2 linked regions of the Arabidopsis thaliana genome follow. The protein of the gene in region 1 interacts with the protein of each later gene in a pairwise test. Each region holds a gene or a part of one and is shown on either strand. Other genes may lie near its edges. The genes, in order: AT5G43520 and BCAT-2.

Region 1 (3,912 bases):
CACTATAAAATTTTTAGATTATTATACATGTTCATTATTGTAAAAAGAAGGGCATGGATGAACATTAAGCAGTAATATAATTTGTTTTTTATTAATGTTTAACAAAATTACAATACCTTATTTAATATCACTAATACTGTAACGACAAAGTTTTCTTTCAAAACTACATGTACGAATATACTTACCCCGTCTCATACAAGCTCTTGCGCAATCAAAACAGTAACCAATTCTCCCAATTTTAAGTTCTTGGTTCAGTGAGCGTGGATCAAAAGGACTTGCTCTTGGACTGAAAGAATATGTTCTCTCTTCATCACTAGATCCATTTATAAGTACTGATGTACCTATCAAATTTTCAAAAGATATATCAAATTCTTAAACAGTTTTTGTAATGATTATAATACTGACACATTATCCTAATTAAATAATTTAAACTTACATGAAGAAACAAAAATTAATAGAGTTAAGAATATAATAGGCAACTTCATTTCTTGGTAGAAATTAACCAATATCACAAAGAAAATATATTAAATATTATTGTGAATCGTTTTTCTTTTGTTTTGCTCTGGAGTATTAAAGCAATATTTAGTCATATTTATAGACTCTGTAGATAAATATGTTATATAAAGAGTTAATTTTCAGTTAAACGTTTTATTTTGTTATAAAGTAAAATTTAGTAACATATTACGTTTGTTTTTGTTTTAAAATTATAATTTTTTAGTTATTAAAATCTGTTATATATTGGTATAAATAGTAATATACATCTAATAAGTGCAAACAATTACATGTTTAAAACTTTAGATTTCAAAAATTACTATTGATGCCCACATTTTATTTAAAATATTTAATTCGAGGAACTAATAAATATATAATATAATTTGATTAAAAATATCAAAAAGTTCTATATTATATATATACTAACTCATGATGCCTATCTTGCTTTTCTAACAAAATCTTAAATCACTTTTGGATTCCTTATTAATACTTATGATCTTAAAGATGACCAAATCAATTAAATTCTTATATGCCTCGAATCAATCCAAACTCTTTCTACATATGTATATCTTTTAGTTATAAATTGCTTAAATTATTTATTAATAAGAAAATCTTTAAATCACCTTATTTCATTTTTTTTTTTGAACAAACACCTTTCAGTTTTTATCTATAGAAACAAATTATTCTTCAAAGTCTTATAAACAAAAGTCTTTTAAGTTGTAACCTGATTATTAATAAGATTTGGTATTAAGTTTTTGAGATTGTTTTACCAAAAAAAAAAGAAAAAAACAAGTTTTTGAGATTTAAACGAAAAAAACCCCTCAAGTATCGATAAATCCATTTTAAAGCCCTCAGCTATATTATTAATGAAAAAACCCTTAACTAAGAGATTTAAGTGACAAAAACCCTTAAGTATTAATCAATTTTTTTTACTTTTTGTGCAGCATCTTCAATATCTAAATTAGTAATAAATGATGATAAACTTGGAGACTCTTGTATAACGAAATCAGAAAAAGAATTTTTCGACTTTTAAAGATATATACCTGAAACTGCATAGATTTGAAACTTTTCTAACGGGGATGACACTATCTTTAAACCGTCAAAGTTTTTAATAATATTCCAATACATGATCAAATTTCCAACCATATTTGAAATTTAGATCTTGCATATATATTAGCATTTCTTAATTTCCCTTGATTGAACTGGATACAGTTTTAAGAAAAATATAAATAAATAATGATGCTTGCATGTAGTTTATATAGAATACTCACTACATCATCACTTGAAGCACCACTTGAATGTTTATATTCACATTATTTGATCTATGCATGTTGTTTTCTTGTTGCTTTCTTTTTTTTGGTAGGGAATTGATCTGTACAGAAGTTTTCGTTTGTTTTAAGACTTAAAACTATGGTTAACCAATTAACCTTTTTTTTTGGTGAGAAGAGGGGAGACAACCGACAATATATTACTCAAAACTATATTAAACCAATTAACCTTATCAAATGGAAGTTGCACAAGATAAATTAGATAATAATTAGCATAGACTTAGAGACGTTGACCTCATTAAACCTTATCCTCTCTACACACACACATATATATATTATGCGGATATGCCCTAGTTGCTATAAAACTCGGATGTTAATTAGAATATTTATTTCTACAAGTTATCTTAATCTTAGAATAATAAACACCAAAGCGCGTCTAAATACTTTTATTTCCTAAACTTTGAATCCCAAATGTCAAAGTCTCCTATACAGATGTCAAACCTTATAATTAGCGAAATAGCATAATACAATGACAACTTGATTAATATAATCAATAAAACGAAACGCATACTCATTAAACCTACAATTATAATGAAGTCCTCTTGCAGTTTTTGGTATATAAAGTTCCACACCCTTCTCCCTCAAAACAACCAAAACCAAACACAAATCAATAACATACTAAATGGCTTCAAGAAAACCAAAGGCCAAACCGGTTAATCGCCAATCTGTGAGGCACCCAAGTCACAACCATCCGCTGCGTGTCTTTAAAGCCAAAGAAGAGGATGAGACCGCATGCTCTGGCTGCGAGCTAGAGCTGACCGGGCAAGCTTTCAAATGTATAAAGTCAGAGTGCGATTACTTCTTACACAAGTCATGTTTCGACCTTCCTAGTGAGACCAATAACAAGTCTCACCAGGACCACCCTCTGACCTTGCTTCATTCCCCACCAGATGATCGGTCTGTCTACACGTGTGACGCGTGTGACCAATACGGATCTGGATTTTCTTACCATTGCTCAAACTGCAACTACAGTCTTCATGTGGGATGTGCGTTTATCCCTGAAACCGTAGATCGTGAAGATCATGAACATCCACTCACTCTTCTTTATTGCACACCGTGTAAAGGACGTGAAGACACGTACTTCACTTGCAGCGCTTGTGATGAAACTATTTCAGAAGATCTATGGATGTATTACTGTAAGGATTGTGACTATGGAACACATCTACACTCATGTGCGGCATATGAAGACCAAGGGAAAGAAGAAGAAGATGAAGACGAAGAAGGAGAAGCGAGTTCTCCAGCTTCTAGGATAAAGTCGTTGATGAAGGCGCAAGACGAGATGGCGGCTATGCAGCTAGAGGCACGTATTGAGAATGATGCGAGGAATGCTGCACTTGATCTGTGGGATGAACCAAAACGTAGATACTATTGGTGATCAAGAAGGGACGAATATATTTATGAATATTGATATTTTTCTTTGCGAAATATGGTTTCCAAAAATAAAGAAACAATAGATATATTACTCTTTCTTGTTTGGTTCTTGTTTATTTGTGTGGATTTAATCATAAACACTCGTGTGTAAGTTGTTTATTTTGCAATATGAAGAAGAAGAAAAAATTTAAGTTGATTTGAAGATTTGTTTTCTTTCATTTTCTCTATCGTAACTCGGAAGAGGTTTAGGTAAATATGTAACATAATCAAACATATTGGAACCTTATTTATCTAGAGATGTGACGGTGATTAAAAACTTTGACCCTTTAAAAAACTTTCAAACCCGTATTTTATATAATAAAATAGATTTACAGTATAGATGAGCAAAATAAATTTGTTTAAATGTAAAATGTTTAGAAAAAAACTAACAGTTTCCTTGATTATAATGAATAAGTTTAATTTTTCAAAAATATTTTTTTATTTGTCAAGGACTTATGTTTCCCAATAAATTTCATGTTTAATGCACACTACAAAACTGTTAGATTATTATACATGTTCATTATTGTAAAAAGAAGGACATGGATGAACATTAAACAGCAATATTTTTTATTATTATTAATGTTTAACAAAGTTACAATGCCTTATTTAATATCACTAATACTGCAACGACAAAGTTTTCTTTCAAAACTACATGTACGAATATACTTACCCCGTCTCATAC
Region 2 (3,933 bases), on another chromosome or scaffold:
GAGGTATTCTTGTTTTCTTTGTAGCAAAGAGTCTTGGTCTTAAATTTGATTGCTTGTATAGGAAGGCACAGCGGCGTTGAACCTGTATGTGGAGGAGGTGATTCCACGCGCTTATCTTGGAGGAACTGGTGGTGTAAAGGCAATATCCAATTACGGTCCAGTAAGTTTAAACACTCATCCTATATAGTTTCAAGTACTAAGCAAGGTGTTTCGTTCCAAAGTAAGTGTTAATTGTTTTGGTGATTAACTGTGAAAGGTGCTTGAAGTGATGAGAAGAGCAAAATCAAGAGGGTTTTCGGATGTTTTGTATCTTGATGCAGATACTGGGAAGAACATAGAAGAAGTCTCTGCTGCTAATATATTCCTTGTGAAGGTTAACAAACACTCTATTTAAGACAAAAGTGGAAGGGATTTTTTTTGTTCTAATGATGCTGTTGTATACTAATTGAAGTTTATTGAGTCTTTCAGGGCAATACAATAGTGACACCAGCTACGAGCGGAACGATTCTCGGAGGGATCACACGTAAGAGCATAATCGAAATCGCCCTTGATCTTGGTTACAAAGTTAGTAGTTATTCCACGTCTTTTTTCTTCTAACACCGTTTCCAATCTTGAGTCAAAAAACAGAGCAATACTCTGTTTCAAAATAGGAATACTTTTGATGCATGGAAGTTTTGATAAGTGTGTAATGGACTCAGGTGGAAGAACGAAGTGTTCCGGTAGAAGAACTGAAGGAAGCTGAAGAAGTTTTCTGCACTGGAACTGCCGCTGGAGTTGCTTCTGTTGGAAGCATCACTTTTAAGAACACAAGGTCTCTTCTTCCTCTCTGGATACATGTATACATATGCTTAGAATTTTACATTTATCTGTTGATAAATAATCTGCAGGACTGAGTACAAAGTTGGAGATGGGATTGTTACACAGCAACTTCGATCTATTCTTGTCGGAATACAAACTGGTTCTATCCAAGACACTAAAGATTGGGTTTTGCAGATTGCCTAAGTTACTTTCATATCCTATAAATAATGTTGCACTCTCTTGATCACCCATCAAAAGCTTTTGAAATAGTTTTTGGTAAATTTGTGACATAAATTTGTGATATATCACCACATCGTATTAGTATTAAACATTTGTTTCACTCTTCCAAAGAGACAAAAGCAAAACTAAAGACCTTCAACTTCAAGGTCAGGATATGTAATCTAATGGTTTGTCTTTGTGGCATTTTGCCACCATTGGTTCAAAATACCATTGCTGTATGATCAGCCTCCTCAGATTCTATTTGCCAGACTCTACGGCGGTATATTCGCTTTTAGAAAAAAAACAATTTTGTCGAAACTTTTTTTTTTTTGTAAATATTGTAGATTCCACACACAAGACTGTCTAAGATTCTTTGATAAGACACGACAAATGCGATTTAAGATTTTTCAAAGAAATGAGGTTCGTTGATTGTTCCACTAGGTTTGGTATATTTATAATTTGAATTTTTTTTTTTAAAGATATTTATAAGAAAACGAAGGAGTGTGCTCGCGTCAAGTGTGTACTAATAGTCGATGACACTAGTGATACGACGATACTGGAAAGGGACATCAATATTCATTAGTAAGCCATCTTAGCAAAAACGTTGTTATCAGATAAGAAAAGTTCTCAGACTGACGTGGCTGTCAATCTCCACAACGTGTTTATCTCCCATTTGGGTAGTTACGGACAAAGACGTTGAAAAGACAACAATATGGTCTAAAAGATTGACATGGAAAGAAAATTGTTTATCCGACAAAGACCTCTTGGTCCAACGTGGCTTTCACATCACTAGTTTACTATTTCACATCTCATGGAAAATTACTGAAATTAGTACTTGTCTGTATTTTGTTTTTTCGTCAAGTATTTGTTTGTATACTTTAGGTAATTGCGTGCCGAAGAAACATTGCTAAATTGATATTTATACCAACTTACAATAGTTTACAGTTCAAAAATAGAAATCTCCATTTTGAAGATACACCACTAATTTTCTTCATTTATTTACCCCATAAGAGAACGAGAAAAGAACAATAGTCCGTTGATTTCGTTAAAATCTAGTTTCAGAAAGACACGTCTAGATCTGTCTGATCAGGGCAGATAGACACAAGTGACGAAGCAAAAGAAACACAAAAATAAGATAAGAACTCTTACCACTAAAAGATAAAAATAAGAAAAAAAATAAAACAAATTCAACGATTTGCCAAGATAAAAGCAGACACTGTACATAAGCTCCGCATTCACTTACGTGTTGGATACTTAATTTGACACTCTTCTTTGTGTTTTCTCTTCCACCTTCTTTTTCGGTATATCATTCAACAAAATTCTCTCTTCATTTCTTTATTTTGTTGTTTTTTTTATTATTATTGAAATCAAGAGAATTAAAACAGAGGCTCTGCAAAAGAAGATGATCAAAACAATCACATCTCTACGCAAAACTCTGGTTCTACCTCTTCATTTACATATTCGTACGGTATAAACTGGATTCTTACAATCTAATGATGATTACTTACTTAGAGACATAACTCGGATCTCAGATACAAACATGTTTTATGTTCTGTTTTTTTTGTCCTGATGAAATAGCTACAAACTTTCGCCAAGTACAACGCACAAGCTGCATCGGCTTTGCGAGAAGAGCGTAAGAAACCTCTTTATCAGTAAGTTCTCTTTTTCATGATCCAGCCAGGTCATATAGATATTTTGTTACCATTGGAAAAAGCTCTGTTTCAAATTTGTTGTAATTGTATCATATAGAAATGGAGATGATGTATATGCGGATTTGGATTGGGATAATCTCGGGTTTGGTCTAAATCCAGCTGATTACATGTATGTCATGAAATGCTCAAAAGACGGCGAATTCACTCAAGGAGAACTTAGTCCCTATGGGAATATTCAGCTAAGTCCTTCTGCTGGAGTCTTAAACTATGGACAGGCAAGGATCTCGTAACCCCCAAATGTTTCTTGATTTGTTTCTCAACTGTATGATCAATAGAGGTTTTGGGATTCTTTGCAGGCGATATACGAAGGTACAAAAGCATACAGGAAAGAAAATGGGAAGCTTCTTTTGTTTCGTCCGGATCACAACGCTATCCGGATGAAGCTTGGCGCTGAACGGATGCTCATGCCTTCTCCTTCGGTTGATCAGTTTGTTAATGCAGTTAAACAAACCGCTCTTGCAAACAAACGTTGGGTAAAAACGCTTTCTTGTGACGTATATTTCTTCTGAAGAGGTTTGTTTTTGGGATCTGATAAGTGATGATGTGTTTGTTCAGGTTCCTCCTGCAGGGAAAGGGACTTTGTACATTAGGCCTTTGTTGATGGGAAGTGGTCCAATACTTGGTTTAGGTCCTGCACCTGAATATACATTCATTGTCTATGCATCTCCAGTTGGTAACTACTTCAAGGTATATACAATACTCTTGCATGTCCATGCTTTTTGGCGATGGAACGATTAGCAAATGTTTTGTTCACTGATTTGTAGGAAGGGATGGCTGCTCTTAACCTCTATGTTGAGGAAGAATATGTCCGAGCGGCTCCTGGTGGAGCTGGAGGCGTCAAGAGCATCACAAATTATGCGCCAGTAAGTGTTGAAACCAACTTAGTTTCTCAAAGACCAGAGTCAGAAAAAGAGTTTTGATAAACCACGTGTTTGTAGGTTTTGAAAGCACTGAGCAGAGCCAAGAGTCGGGGGTTTTCAGACGTTCTTTATCTCGACTCTGTCAAGAAGAAGTACTTAGAGGAGGCTTCTTCTTGCAACGTCTTTGTTGTCAAGGTAAGATATATTGTGGTGTCTCCATGTCTCTTTGTTGCATCCTAATTGTATCATTGATTCAGGGTCGGACAATCTCAACTCCTGCAACTAATGGAACAATTCTTGAAGGGATTACGCGGAAAAGTGTGATGGAGATCGCAAGTGATCAA

What was found.
Region 2: the proteins of AT5G43520 (region 1) and BCAT-2 interact in a two-hybrid assay, tested with the Arabidopsis thaliana proteins (one large-scale study listed by BioGRID).

What each region holds. Positions count from the first base shown.
Region 1 is NC_003076.8:17,484,722-17,488,633, reverse strand, and holds AT5G43520 (Cysteine/Histidine-rich C1 domain family protein), read left to right. Parts: upstream 1-2,324; 5' UTR 2,325-2,442; coding exon 2,443-3,195; 3' UTR 3,196-3,403; downstream 3,404-3,912. Other genes in the region: LURE1.5 (Putative membrane lipoprotein), read right to left, coding at 118-341, 437-485; LURE1.4 (Putative membrane lipoprotein), read right to left, coding at 3,833-3,912.
Region 2 is NC_003070.9:3,285,836-3,289,768, forward strand, and holds the start of BCAT-2 (branched-chain amino acid transaminase 2), read left to right. Parts: upstream 1-2,251; 5' UTR 2,252-2,419; coding exon 2,420-2,485; exon of another isoform or gene 2,486-2,595; coding exon 2,596-2,669; intron 2,670-2,766; coding exon 2,767-2,944; intron 2,945-3,025; coding exon 3,026-3,202; intron 3,203-3,284; coding exon 3,285-3,416; intron 3,417-3,493; coding exon 3,494-3,592; intron 3,593-3,667; coding exon 3,668-3,784; intron 3,785-3,846; coding exon 3,847-3,933. Other genes in the region: BCAT-1 (branched-chain amino acid transaminase 1), read left to right, coding at 62-160, 257-373, 469-564, 699-811, 888-1,002. UniProt on the Arabidopsis thaliana protein: Converts 2-oxo acids to branched-chain amino acids. Shows activity with L-Leu, L-Ile and L-Val as amino donors and 2-oxoglutarate as an amino acceptor, but no activity for D-isomers of Leu, Ile, Val, Asp, Glu or Ala.